3 linked regions of the Saccharomyces cerevisiae S288C genome follow. The protein of the gene in region 1 interacts with the protein of each later gene in a pairwise test. Each region holds a gene or a part of one and is shown on either strand. Other genes may lie near its edges.

Region 1 (5,666 bases):
GGCCATCGATGACAATTTCATACTCTGGATCTAGTTGTCTATGTTTCTCTTTTTTGCTGCCTATCGTTCGTGATTGAAAAGTAGATTTATTAATCAAATCTGGCGATTTTTTTGATTGAGTTCGCTTTATTTTTTTTTTCTTTTGAATTTCCCTCTCTCTTTCAACCTCATTTTGCAAATGTTCATCAAACTCATTTGAGGTTGCATTACCTGCAAAAGCAAGACCTGCAGATAATGCATTCCTTTTGAGTTGTCGAGCCATTATTACTGGCACTGTAAACAAATTTCTTAACCTATTATTTCTTTGCATAAGTTTCCTATTCCATTATACGAGCACTCATCCATTTTCAAAAGTTTTTTATGAACTTTTTCTTAACTCGGTCTTTTGTTCTCTAATGGTTCGCCGCCAGACAGAAAAAAAGCTTACTTATCGAGGAATCACATTGCTTCAATGAATAAATTCTATAATGCATATACTACCTAACATATATAAGAGAAGTGAGCGTCATTCATGTCGGCTACTTGTCAATTTGTATTACGTTCCTTACTTTCCATTTTCAAACATCGCGATACAAAAACTTTATAATGGTCCATTTCTTAAGAAGGCTATCAAATCTATGCCGCTACTATCACTACTATCATTATCGTTCTGCGCCTCAATTATTGGATCAGGAGTCGTACCTGGTATTGTGGGCTTGACCAGATAATTTTCAGATGCACTAGCATCTGAATAGCGTAAATTCTTATCCTCTTCAATGCTATTCTCATCATCGTTTGTGACAATATTGCTTGAAAAGAAGCTGGATTTGACCATACTGTTAGTTGAGACGTCCTGATGTTTATCGTGACTTTTATTTTGGTTTAATGCAAATTTCAACCCGGGTAGAGAAAAATGGTCGTTATTGTACCGTATTTTCAACAATCTGTTTAACTCATCAAGATCTATTCCGCCAAGCATTGGAATATGATGAATGATCCTCCAAAACAAGGGCACTTCAACCTCTTCGGCCGTGATGTTATTAAGCATTGCCTGTAGTTCAAGTGAATTTGATGGAAGGGAGCGATCGCTACTATTCGTTTTAGTCTCATCAGATTCTGTGCGTTTATTATCGTTTGAATCTTTGGCTGAATAGTAGTTTTCCCAGTATTCAAAATCGTCACAATTGTCATAAAAACTAAAGTGTAGTTTTAGTTCAAACAATTGTTTAAAGAAGCGTTCAACAAACCACAGTATACGCTTCAGAGGGTTTGTAGAATATTTCCAGCATTTTCTTTTCTTCCACTTACCACGATAATACCAACCTCTTTTCCCCCAATTGCTGTGACAAAACTTCAGAATTTCCTTTTCACCAAGCTCTCCTTTCAGAATATATTTTTCAATGAGATATTTTGATTCTGTTTTTGCCCATGAATAGTTCCAAGGTTTTTCCTTGAACAGGTAAACAATGACGTCGACGAGACAACTTAATGGTCGAACGCAAGTGTCAATGTATGTCACCCACATGGTAGGCCCATGCTTTATTTCATGATTGTATTGCAACGCATCTGCAATGATGGGGAAAAGCCATATCCCAATATACGACAGTGGATAAATGAATATTGCCCTTAGATTCTTTTGAATTTGTGCCCTACGTTTTTTCATTTGTTTGTAGGTTTGGGCTTGGAAATGCTGTTGTACGTTGGTGAAACTTGAATTTTCGCATCTGTCTGCATTATTATTCACTCTCTCCTGTGAAAATTGTTGAGACGGAGTAAATGCTTCATTAGAAAGTGTAGGAATATTATCGGCTGGATTAGTATTATTGTTATCAACGTTATTTTTAATATTATTACTATTATTATTATTATTGTTGTTGTTGTTGTTATTGTTATTATTATTGTTATTATTATTATTGTTATTATTATTATTGTTATTATTATTATTGCTATTATTGTTATCGTTATCGTTATCGTTATTGTTGTTGTTGTCGTCGTCGTCGTTGTTACTGTTGTTGTTGATGATGCCTCCTTTTTCCTTAATGTTACTAGTTATGTCGCTGTTATCGTTCTTATTATCATACATTGCTAAAGGAGATTCTAGAGAATTTTGGCAAGAGAAAGTCTGATGTCCCAGCATTGAACTTTTTCTTGTATCCAGTCCTTCATTTTCAACACTAAAAGTAACTTTATGCTCCTTTTGCTTGGATACTAGTTCCGAAGGATTGAGTGTGATGTCATTTTCACAATCAAAAGGATTATTTCTTTCCAAATCTGGCTGTTCAGACATTGCATATTTGGACATATCGAGTGGTTTAGCACTGTTATAGTCAAGTAAGCGAACTCCACCACTTGCCGAGACATTCTCATCACTACCTGTATTTGTTTTTCTGAATAGTGTAGGTATCTCATTCGAACTCTCACCAAAATTGAAAGTTCCATTACTACTACCTGAATCGTCTGTTTCCTCATTCGGATCTATGAACGAAATGGTGAAAAAATTCTTTAAATTTCTCAAAAGATGTAGCAATGGCAATTTAAAATAGGATCTGAAATACCATTTGGCTTTTCCCCAGTGACCGAGCCCAAATAATTTTTTCTTTTCTTTCTCTTCCTCTAGTACGTTATGGTTAAAGTCTCCAATTTGCGCTTTAATTCTTTTACTTTCACTGGTAATGAAAATATAAATACTGAGGTAGACTGCAAATATGAAAATAATAATGAAATATCTGGGACCCCAGCTTAAAACAATTTTATACCAGTACGGCTTGGGTGGTAAATAGCACCATGCACTCCAAGGTTTGTAGCCACCTTGCCTGGGAGAATCGGGAAAGTTGTAGTTATTATTATCCAGTATAATAGTGGTGTCAGAATCGTCATTGAGTTTATTATAATTAATGAAGGCTAAGCTTGCTAAAATGGCAGGTACTAATGCAGTAATTGGCCAGATATATGACCTTTTTTTGTACAAGCCACCCTCCATATTTCCCGATCTTTTATTTCGCCATTTCCAATTAGGCTTGAAGATCAAAATAGCAAAATGTATGGCGAATATCATTATGGCCATGTCTGCACCTTCGATGGCAAAGGCCGTAAACCAACCCAAGGTATTAAAAAATGCAGGTGTTGCATACACACTATTATTAATAAGGATAATCATGGGATAAATCATCAGAATAAAAGCTTTAAGAAAGTCGCAAATTATCAAAAATGCGATGAGATCATGTCTGAAGACTTTTCGTCTCTTATCCATTTTAGAAAGGAAGAACATTCCGAGGCAACCGGCAATAAGGGACACGGCAGACGCAGTTATAGCTATTATTCTTAACTGCAACAGTTGCGGAGCCGTGAATGTAGAGGTCATCCCCGGCAACCCCAGCAGCTGGTTAACCGTGGTAGTGTTAAGCTGTCGGAGAGAATCAACTCTCTTTTCTAGTAAGGATGACCCTTTCAACGCGTTTAAATTCGGGGGAAATCCCTCAGTTATCATTTTGAGTTGGAGAGTTTGCTTTATTCGTCACACTTCGGATCACTTGTTTGTCGTTTTTTTTTTTTGGTGACTCTTACTGCTTTTTATAGACACACACACACACACACACACACACCTTCTTCTGGATACCGTAGAGAAAGGGATGTAGACAAATAAAAAAGGACAAAAGCTAGAAAAAAGACGGAAGAGGACGTGCGATTGCGTTGAATATGACCTTCGCAAATAAATATTAATAAATATGACGTTTTTGCCGCAATGCTAATTCTATAACCCACTCCTTCGTTGCCTTCTATGCTTTAATTAAACAATGGGTCCGGCTCAAACCTGGAAGGAAGATTTATAAATCTTGAAAAGAAAAAAAAGTGTGATTTAAAAAAATGAAAAAGAAAAACAAGAGGGCAAAAAAAAATGAACTACTTATTGAGACATGATTCAAGGGAAAAGACCTTCATATATACAGATTACTTTTCGAAATGGTCAGCCGCTTCATGAGCTCTTCTTGGCTGTATCGTACCACCGTGGTTCAATTAGGCAAGTATGTTGCTAAGATTAATTGCTGCGGCGCATCGTATAAGGTGATATACTAAATTCATTATCATCACTATGCATGGGTGTCATTATTATTAACATGGGAAATGGGCCCACTCCCAAGGACTCTATCGTCGATATATAGACAGCACGATTGCCCAGGAGTTATGGCACGTTGTTTTGAGGCTAAGTGTATTGTTATGTCGAGGTTGTCGGCAGAGCGATTCAGTTTGCACGATTTAATTTGGACTGGGACCTGCAGGGACCGGAATTGTAATGTCAAGGCACCAGTATTTTGGAAAGCGTTTATAGTGTCCTCCCTGGGGCCCAAAGACGAAAAGTTTTCGATTCGCATAGTGTCACTGTATAGCGCCGGATTATCTCTTCCTCTGACTATCAAGATTTCGTTGGTATCCCTTAGTTTTTCACTGACAAACCAGGTCCCTTGGTAATTAGGGTCAGCTTGTGGCATGGATATGCCCACTTTCTGTCCAATTGTGTAAGACCACAATCCATCGTGTCTGCCCCATGTCGTTTTGGCACCGGATTGTGGGTCAACGGTAATGATATCACCCGGTGAACTGGGTAGGTAGTGCTTTAAAAAATTCTTGAACTTCCCATGCTGGGAATTGTTGACGAAGCATATGCCCTGTGAATCAGGCTTTTCTGCAGTCGGGAGGCCTGCATACTTCGCTAAATCTCGTACTTCTGGTTTCGTTAGATGGCCAATGGGTAGCAACAAAGATGACAAAACAGTGGAGTTGATTTGTGAAAGGTAATAGCTTTGATCCTTGGGCCTATAAATGCTTCTCAGTAAATGGAATAATCCTTTTCCATTCATTTCCTGCATAACTCGGGCGTAATGACCAGTAACAAGCCAATAGTTACCCGTCCCATACTTCTCATCCAGCCACTCTCTCAGCTTGCCGAACTTGACGAACTTGTTGCAACCGATATCTGGATTGGGTGTCGACCCTTCACTGTAGCCTCTCAACATTGGTTCAAATACATCTATCCAATAATCTTGCTCAAAATTAACTTTGTCAACTCGGATGTTCAAATGCTTAGCGACACGGTTCACATCTCTCCAATCCCTCTCGTAGCATGGCTCCTTGCCAGGGTCGTCCAAAGATTGTGATTCAGACCAGTTCTGCATATATACTCCTCGGGTATTTGGAAATTCTCCGGCAAATAGTGCTGCCGCCACAGAGGAATCTACCCCAGATGACATTGCCACTATCACGTTGTCAAACTTTGCCGGTAGCCGCTGTGGTCTGTACGGTGAAGCACTCCTCCGTCCTATTAAATTTAAATATCTTGCCAGCATTGTTATCTGACTTGAATCGATTGCCAAATCAATACGCTCACATTTTTAACGTTCTTGTATGTTTCCAAACTTTCATTCTTTTACAATAAAGCAATGTTTTGCCTCAACTATTGAAAGAAAAAAATAAGAGACCAATTGTTACTACCCGGCGCTCTTAAAATTTTCAAGCGATGAGATGAAATTCATACAAAATGGCTTTACAGAGAGTTACTAGTACTTCACTAACTTCCTACTGCTTGAAGTAAAGTCACTAAAAGTACTTTTGTCATTTAAGTTACCACCACATATCTCTTTAACCTAGAATATGGCAGGCGTGCAGAAAAGAAAAAGGGATCTCGAAGATCA
Region 2 (5,305 bases), on another chromosome or scaffold:
CGGTAGAACGGGATATCTTTGTCTCTGGGTTCTGTCCTTGGTGTTTACTAGTGAAGAAAATAGATATCTTCGAATTTCTTGGCGGCGTTATAAAACTGGGTAGGCTGATTTTTTTATCACCCAGTGGCAACGTCAGTGGTATAGTCTCATCGGTGAGAGGATCCTGTATGTAACCTTTGAATTCGTCAACACTTAAGTCCTTCAATGCAATTCTTCCTCCTTCCCTTAAAAATGCTCTTTCATAAGGGCAAATTTTAGCGGGTGAAAGGTTTTCTTTTACTTGGGAAGGATTATTCTCATTGCTCACAGAATTGTTATTATTGTATATTTCATTATGTCTGTGGACAGCTATGTTTCTTTCTTCAGCCGTTTCCTCATACAGCATAAATTGTGCAGCTTTAGAAATTTGGATTGTCTTTATTGGACTTCGCCTTAGTGCATAGTCTGTGTCTATTTGTGACCTTCTCTTTGATGGTGAACGAAGTTCATTGCCTTTTACCACTGCTCGTGGTTTTTGGTTTATATTCTTGCTTGATAAAATGGTTCTCTTTTTTGATGGTGATATCATCTTTCAGTGTCTCTTACTTTATTTCTTCCAAAGGATCCTAATTCAGTAATGCTTAATATGTTCTCCTTTCTTTTTACTTTATATAGTATGATAACAAAAGCACAAAACTTCAGAAAGAAGACGCGTCAACGCGCTACGCGAAATATGCATCAACTTTCTGCTGAAGAGAAGGCAATCAGCGAAAAACAGAAGTTGTTATTGTGTATTGTCGTGGTACTTCGTCGTCCCATTTGATATATCCATTCTAGGTAATCATGTTGGTATATGCAAGTAGGTATATGTACGTATTTATGAATATGTGTATTTGGCCGGAAAAAGATCGCCTATAAAATTTGTGTATGAATAAATAAAGTGCAAAATATGTATTGTTCCCCCTCCATGTTAAACAACGGAATGTGACGATATCCCATCCTCAAATAGTTCAGCTTAAGGCAAACAGATGCAATCTGGGTCTCTTCAGAGATAACCATGAATTTTATAAATGTGAGGTCTGTATCTTTCAATGTGATAGAAACTTCAGCATCCCATATTGGGTTGAATCCATTCCCTTGAGAACTCTTAGTGGATGCTTCAGTGGCAGAAATCCTTGTACCCTTATCGATTGAGATGGGCATTGTCGGCTCGTCATCGGTATGAAACTCCACTTTAACAAAGGAATTGGTGTTATTTCTGCTTGGCGATGTATCATTCAATCTGGGCAATAACTGTGTAGATAAAATTCGAATTTTAACAGTAACAGGATCACTACCATTTTCAAAATGTTCGTAAATTAATGGAATCATTTTCGCCTTTGTTACTACAGGTAGCAACTTTTTTGGTTTTAGCACGTATCCTGATTTAAAACTTCCATCAGGTTGGTGATCTAATATTTGAAACATTGCCAGATTAAGTTGCTGTCCAATATCATTAGTTTGCCAATTCGTAGCCACCATTTGTACACCGGCCTTCCAAAAAGGTATTGGGTTAAAATTTGATGATTTGTATCGTAAAACGTGAGGATAGACTCTCATCAAATATCTTCTATTATGTTTATCCAACGATAATTTTAAGTGTTTGTCTTTTATCATGTATTCTACTTTGCGCTCATTCAGTGAAAAACAATGCGCTATCGTTTTGGACTCTGGTAAAGAGAAATTCCTGAACTTGATGCCATGTATTCCAGAAATGTTAGAAACATCATTAATTATATCAGCGTGCTTTTTTAATCCAATTCTTTTGATGCGTTGCATACTAGAAGAATTTGTTGCGCTACTACTGTTCGTGGAGTCATCTTTCATTCTTAATTCCTGTTCATTAGCTGATTCGTAAGAAGAACTAAAAGAAGATGGAAATGGCTCATTAACGCTAAGACCTCTAGTTGCTTCACTCGTCTTCTTGGATTTCAACAGTATTTTATGTTTTAATTCCCTTGGTGATGGCAGTTTATCAGTTCTTGTGCCAACAAAGTACAGCTGTTCTGCTAAAACCTCTCTCATTATCAGGCTTGCCAATTTTTGATTATCCTTGTTACAGTTTATTTCCAGTGAAATAATCAAAGGATACGGAGACGTTATAAAAGCGTACTTCTTTATCACGCGTATAACTGTTTTTAAGGGAATAGCTGACGTTAAAAATCCATGGCATACCACTGGCCCATTTTCACCATCCCATATATCAATTTCTACGCACCTACAACCTTGTTGTAGGACTTGAATATATCCCTCCACAGATGGAGTTTCTGCAATTTGTTTCCCCAATAAATAAGTATTATGTGAAGATGCAATAAAATAATGGTTTAATGGCTTTGAATATAACTCCTCTTTAACCTCCACCAAATATGGTTGCTCCTTCAAGAACTTGGTAAAACCATCTTGCCCCATCGTCAGCTGAGTCGGTTCTCTGTACTTAATAAAATATGACCATGCAGTTTGACGATCCACTTGCTCATGCTGCTCTGTAATTAAAAATTGAAAAAAATTTTCAAATGATAAGTGGGAGTGTGGAGGTTTTGTAAATTTAGACCAAATCATATTTACCTCTTTCCTATTCTTTAAGATTTTAATGAACTTTTCAAATTCAAAATAATTTAATAGTCCGTTATGATTGATGTCTGCTAATTGGAAAAACTCTAACAATTGACCAGTTGACACATAAATATGAAATTTATCACATAGTTTCTTCACATCTGCAAAGCTCAATGTGTCCTTTTTCTCATCTTCCTCTTTTTCAGAAACAGTAATTTGCCAATGTATCCTAGCGAATTGCGAATTATCAGGCAAAAGTATGCTTTCCATTAATTCCCTCCTTAACTTCACTAAACCGCAAATGCAGCTTAAGAATGTGTTAAAGTCCAATTCATTCAAAGCAACTACGTGTAACGCTTTCAATTTGTTGGAAACCTTATAAATAATAGCAATCCAAAGTTTACTGTCCGATCTCAATCTTTTCGGATCTACTTCCTCTTGATAAGTACTCGCCGTATCACCGATTCTGATGTCTTTAACGGAGTCTAATTCCAGATACTTCGAACCATCTTTCCATATTATTTGCCCGTTGTTATTGATTAATTTAAATTCATAGAACTTCCTTCTTCTTCTTGTCATCCTAATCATCCTGATTCCTCTTTGCAATACGCGACATAGCGTGCTGAGATCACAGTCTTTTCTTAATTTCTTGTTAACAAGCTCATTTATCCCATGTGAATAAGTAAGAGGCCCCATATGGACTCTAGGCAATTCGGCTGCTCTTCTAAAAATCGACCTTATGCTTCTTCTCACAGTACTTCCATTGTTCGCGCTTTTTTGGTCAGTATTAAAAGAGGATTGAAAAGAACTGTAACTTATAAAATCTAAAGCATCATCCTTTTGTGTTATTTTCCCTTGATCTCTGCATGAGTGTCGTTGTAACTCCTTTGTAAGATTAAACCTTTGGTCATCTATAGCACTTTCAGTCATTCATATACACTGCGTGAATGACCTTACCGTTGTACGTTTATAATTCCCAGTCTTTTATTGTTTTAATGACCTGAGGCTGCTTATGTCGTGATGCTTATACTATTTTTTTTATAAAGCGTCGGGTAAAGGTGTCAAAAACTGTAAAATGAAAACGTGCGGAATCTTCATGGACTATTTAAAATTACACATAATATTACATTATTTAAACTAGTATTACAAATTCTATGAATGGAGAGGGTGAGAGGGAGGATATATAAAAATGTATAAGTATACAGTTTTAGGTTAGTATCAATAAGTTGGGGTTTTATCTAAACGCCCTTCTCTTGGTGAAAGTAACTGTGATAAGGGGGTGGGAGGCCTCAATCGGGTTCTTCTTCTTGTCGAAGGGACCCAAACTTGACTATTAGGTGTCGTGATTTTTGTTGGCGGAGTCTGGAAAACCTTTGCTATCGGTGTGTTTTCTACGGTGACTTTCACCACTTTATCCTTGTATATAGGGATCCTAGAGGGCAAGGACCGGTAATGATTCCATTTATCTTTTTCGATGTCAAGCACAGACTTATTCTTTGCCATCAAAGGAGTTTCTGTAATCTGTACTTTATTTTCATGCCGAGATGTAATGAAGGAGTCTGGTGACTTTTCATTTTCCCCACGAGAAACACGGAGGGTGGTTTCATCGGTTTCGTCATAAGGTAAGGGAGGAACACTACTTAGTATCAGTTTTCCTTTGTTTGGCGACTCCGGATCAAAAAATGGATTAATCGCATTTGATGAATTTGGGCTTGTTGCAGGTTTAATATTCATCTTCTGCAGTAACGCTTTACCAAGCTTTTTACCTTTCAAAGCCACTGTAGTTGAATTTTCCGGTGTTTTATTACTGTCACCTTCATTAATGGCGACTCTCTCCTGGAAATCCTGGGTTATAGTTCCAATAACACTATTCGGTCGCCCAAAGCCTAATGATTTCGGTTTTGGAATCTTCTTCTTGCTAGTAGCTATTTTGTTTGAAGCGGAGGATTTGATTAGAATTTTATCCGCTGTAGGCTTGATATTCAGCCATCTTTGAGCTAATTCATTTGTCTTCGATGCGACGCCAGCGTCCAAAAGTGAGAATTCCAATGCTCTGTAAATAATATTGAATGTCTTAGAAACAGTTTTTGATTTTCTCTCCAATTGCCTCTCGAGCCTTATAGTGATATCTTTGGTATACTTTGTTGTCAGTAATTTCGACTGCAACCTTTCTATCTCATCAAGAATGTATAATAGTTCATGATTTAAATTAATAAAGAGTATATTCCAACGTTTGTCGATTAGTTCGACTTTCAATTCCCTAAACTCTGAATTCATAAATCTATAATCTTTCATTATCAGCTCGTATTTTTTTTGCAAGATTGTTTGCAAAGTAGTTATGTTTGTTATATTCCGGTGCCCAAATTGCACAATTCTTTGAGGTAGGATATCAGTCAAACTTTTTTCAATTGGAGGGATATTTTTTTTTAGGTTCAAGAACTTTCTTGATAAAATATCTTCTGCCGGAGAAAATTTTGGTACCTTTGGCTCAGTTGTCTCCGTATGCGTTCCTAATAACTTGACTAGTTGTTCTAGGGTAAATGATGGAGTATGCCGTATCGGGGACGCGAACCTTTCTTCCTGAATTTCCAGACAATACGATATATTGCTATTAATGATTTTATGTAATGTATCCATATGATCCTTTGAAATTTCGTTAAATTCCAATGACGTATCCAATAATTCCTTCAAGTTAGTAAGCCATGGCTCCAACTGAGTCTTAATTTGTGTAGAT
Region 3 (4,043 bases), on another chromosome or scaffold:
GCTGTCACTTCAATGGTCTTTTTCTCAGTGTTTACGGAATAAAAAGAGGCTGGATATGAGTTTCTAAGCTCAGCTGACCCCGGTACGGACGATTTATGGTTAGAAGTAATGAACTTCAGCAGATTCTTCTTGAATGAAGAAGAATCAGGGTACAGCACATTCACTGTGAAACATAAAGTTTCCGCATTCAAAAGCTCCTGGTTCCTTAAAGAGCTCAAGTCCTTTAAACTCCTCCATATATATCTTGGGTCCAGCGTTAAAGTGGTCTTGGAGATCTCATTCAAAACTTTCAATAGTTCCTGAACCTGATCTTCTTCCGCATATTTCTTCTCAGAATGGTGCAAGTCATTGACCCCGGAAGAATCCACGTCCATCATTACTGCAGTGCTAGCCATTCTATTTGCTCAATTGAATTTTTTTTACTATACCCCCTTTCAAATTGTGTGATGAATGCCTTACCTACTGCTTTGTCTCTTTCTTGGGTGGCAAATGTTTTTCGTCCTCCTGCCTGAAAAGTGGAACTATTACCTCGTTGGAATGAAATTTTTGTTACCCGGGATAATAACTATAATGACTACAATAATATAGTGGTATAACGCTATAAATTAAAAAATAACGGTTGTGCTTAATACAGCACAAAACAGAAAAGTTATTCAAGTATCATGGTTGTGATTACTAGTACAATGGTCATGAGAAAACGTATTCGTATTTATTTAATTTTTTTTTTTTTTTTACCTTTTTTCCAGTTTCTTTTTTTATCTTTTTTAAAGGTGATAATAAAGGGGAGAAGAGGCATGCAGTTTTGTCTCTGTTTTAGCTGTGCATTCATTGTAACACTCCAGAGTCTTTCAATGTATTTTCCAAAATTGTTTCTTTGATGGCGGCAAATACTAATCTTATATTCGACGTGTCTGTGGCCTGTGTCACGTGAGGATATATGCTTAGATTCGCCCTGTTTAACTGAACAAACCTCCAGAGTATGTACTTAGCAGCCTTGTTGATGTCTGACCCGCCGGTGTAGTCTGGGAAGTAATTTTCCATAGGCACTTTGCTTAGTTTTTCAGCAAAAAGGTCGATTTTATTCAGAAAGAGTACGACAGACGTGCGCGCGAACCATCTACTGTTGACAATATTATCGAAAAGCACCAGCGATTCCTGAAACCTGTTCTGGTTCTTGTCCTCCATCAGCGTCTGGTCGTACTCCGATAGAGAAACGCAAAATATGACCAGAGTGACATTGTCGAAGCAGTGTATCCATTTTTTTCTTTCGGAACGCTGTCCACCCACGTCGTAAATATGCATCTTGATATCCGACCCCATATCAATGACGGTGTCAAAAATCCCTGACGTCATCTGTCTCGATCTTAATATGTCCTGCTGGGTGGGTCTGTAATTGGGCGAAGTGATCCTGGTGAAATTTTCCATGAAGTAAGGAGTCGAGTCCATTAGATAGAACTTCGATGCGTTAGGCCCATTGACTAAATCTTGTGTTGAGGGCAAGGCCCACAACGTAGATATTACGCCCGCGATATCTTCCGGGAATTGGCCCGTGTAGTTATTGGGCATTTCATAGGACATGGTTCTCGACAGGTCTTGTTGCGTCAGTTCACACTCCGGTTCCAAGTTGACGTTAAACCTTGTTCTCGCCTGGATGAGGTTCCTGCCAATTTCCAATAGATTCTGATAGATCAAGGGGATGTACTCTTTAATTTCCTGCTCGCTAAACCCGTTCTGGTGTAAAATCTTCAACTGCTGCAATACCGTGGACTTACCACTTTCACCGGCACCCAGCAGTAGCACTTTCAGTTCTTTGTCGTTGCTGCCACTTGAAGCGTCCGACAATGATGGTTGTGCTGCAACGTTACTCGACCTGTCTCTCAGGGCAGAGTCGATATTGATCTGTTGCGATCCGCTTGTATTTGCCGTAGCCGTGGGAGATATCGCGTTATTAATGCTCCCGTTTTGCTCCTTGCGGTCCTTAACATTATGCGGAGACGGCTGCTGCTGCCTCTGTTGTTGCTTTTCTTGTTGATTTGCTGTGTTGACTGTTCTCACAGTCTTCTGTGGCTCCTGCTTTGGTGGTACCTTCGCTTTGCCAACGTTGTCACTACCAGCGCTGGCGGTCTGCGTGTCAGGAGTGCTGCCGTTCTTTTCTGAAGATGCGCAGAGACCCATGATATTTGCTTGAAAATACGCGTGATTTGTGCTGTAACAATAAGGCTCGCTGTGATAGCAATTGCTCACTTTTATACCTATCGATTGCTCTTTGGGTAGTGAGAACCAAACCTACCTAAAGTTTTTCCACCCCTTCAGTCTAAGGCTGCACGCACGCGCCTATAAATCCTGCTGCTTATTAACTTTTTTTTTCGGTGCAGTATGCAAGAGGATAAGAAGAATCATTTGGGCGCAGCTGAGGGGGCTTGAACATGATGAAGTAAGGGAAGAAGAAATCGCGAACGAGGCAGTAGTCATGTTTTGTGACTGAATTGGCGGACTTCATTTTACTCCAGACATTTACTTAATGTGGAGCACGCCGGGCGCAGGGATCGTAATATATGGTATATCTTTAGTAATTATAAGTTTGATTCTGCCCCGGGTACCACGGGTTACCCGTTTCCTTAGCCTTTTGGATTTCGTCTTTTTTTTTTTCCTCCATTTTCACTTTTTCATTCAGTTACTAACTGGCCAAAAGAGACATTTTAGATATAAGAGGTATGAGAGAGTAGATATATGTGCGTGTGAGAAAAGGTAAGGGGCGCAAAGCATAAAACAGGTGGTATTATCGATCAACAGTATCATAAGAATGGCAGCTTCAGTTCCACCAGGAGGTCAGCGTATCTTGCAGAAGAGAAGACAGGCACAATCCATTAAGGAAAAGCAAGCAAAACAAACGCCCACTTCCACCAGACAGGCTGGTTACGGTGGGTCTTCAAGCTCAATTTTGAAGTTATATACGGACGAAGCCAATGGATTCAGAGTCGACTCCCTTGTCGTATTGTTCCTATCTGTCGGTTTCATCTTCTCCGTGATTGCTTTGCATCTATTGACGAAATTTACACACATTATATAATATCAGTAATTTTTTTACATATGCTAAAGAAAATCGATAATATCATTTCTCGCTCAAGAAAGTTTGCAGGTGGTGCTCCGCGTCCAGAACCTCTTGTTCGACTTCGATGAGGGCTCTGATTTCAGACCTGCCAAACAAGAAGGAGATGGCACCGTCGATGGTGCCCGAGATGGAGACAGCAATAGCGAAAAGGACCCAGAAGATGGAGGACCAGCCTGCCTTGTTTGCAGTAAACGTTGTCACGACCAACGACGCTATTAGGAGAAGTATTGAGGCCCAGAAATGTAGGCCACGGAAAAATTTCTGTCTTTGGGCTGTCTTCAAGTACGTGTGGATGCATTCTATCATGGTTTCGTAGTTGGAGTATCTCTGCAAGATCAGCTCTCTATCATGAGTCTTCGCACGCTTAACGGAGGTGGATGGACGGGACTCTGTGCCCTGTGGGACGATGTTAAGGGTGCATGAGTATGCAAAATGGTCAGAGACACTGCAGTCCAGGTGAGGGATCCGTTCAGTGAACCTGACACCTGCGTCTACTGTTTGCAAGAAATCAGGGTCGATAAGAGCATAATCCAACCTGCATGCCTCATCGGGTTGTCTTTGGGCCCTCCATGTGTTGAGCAGCGAATCGCACGTGGTACAGCCCTTAAGCAATTGTTGCAATGGAGACAGACGAGCGATCACCGCCAAGTCTTGCTTCCCATGCAATTGCTCCCAGGAGTCGACCAGGCCGGCCTCCTGCGTGAGAAATTTGTGGGGCAGTGAGCCCGGTCTGGAGTTTAAGTCACCCACCACAATCACCGCATAACCGGCCTGCCTGTAAAGCTTAATGAGCCTGCTGAAATCCCAGGCCTGACAAGATCTGTGGCACAAGTAGGCGGCATCACCCTGCTTGGCGTATGGGGCGTGCATGTGACTGTTCATTATTGCAATGGGGCGGGTTCCTGTGTTCAATACGGTGATTGCTATAGAT

Evidence for each region.
Region 2: the proteins of GPR1 (region 1) and PLC1 interact in a two-hybrid assay, tested with the Saccharomyces cerevisiae proteins (one study listed by BioGRID).
Region 3: the proteins of GPR1 (region 1) and GPA2 interact in a two-hybrid assay, tested with the Saccharomyces cerevisiae proteins (4 studies listed by BioGRID).

The regions. Positions count from the first base shown.
Region 1 is NC_001136.10:388,592-394,257, forward strand, and holds GPR1 (Gpr1p), read right to left. Parts: upstream 3,467-5,666; coding exon 581-3,466; downstream 1-580. Other genes in the region: pseudouridine synthase PUS9, read right to left, coding at 1-310; SLM3 (tRNA-5-taurinomethyluridine 2-sulfurtransferase), read right to left, coding at 4,068-5,321; ATP-dependent RNA helicase DBP10, read left to right, coding at 5,626-5,666. UniProt on the Saccharomyces cerevisiae protein: Seems to associate with GPA2 and act as G protein-coupled receptor that senses glucose and controls filamentous growth.
Region 2 is NC_001148.4:33,432-38,736, reverse strand, and holds PLC1 (phosphatidylinositol phospholipase C), read right to left. Parts: upstream 3,502-5,305; coding exon 892-3,501; downstream 1-891. Other genes in the region: ACM1 (Acm1p), read right to left, coding at 1-568; KAR9 (Kar9p), read right to left, coding at 3,790-5,305. UniProt on the Saccharomyces cerevisiae protein: The production of the second messenger molecules diacylglycerol (DAG) and inositol 1,4,5-trisphosphate (IP3) is mediated by activated phosphatidylinositol-specific phospholipase C enzymes. Required for cell growth, osmoresistance and expression of GPD1.
Region 3 is NC_001137.3:193,300-197,342, reverse strand, and holds GPA2 (guanine nucleotide-binding protein subunit alpha), read right to left. Parts: upstream 2,176-4,043; coding exon 826-2,175; downstream 1-825. Other genes in the region: proteasome regulatory particle lid subunit RPN3, read right to left, coding at 1-395; Arf family guanine nucleotide exchange factor SBH2, read left to right, coding at 2,804-3,070; ISC1 (inositol phosphosphingolipid phospholipase), read right to left, coding at 3,113-4,043. UniProt on the Saccharomyces cerevisiae protein: Alpha subunit of the heterotrimeric guanine nucleotide-binding protein (G protein) involved in glucose-induced cAMP signaling.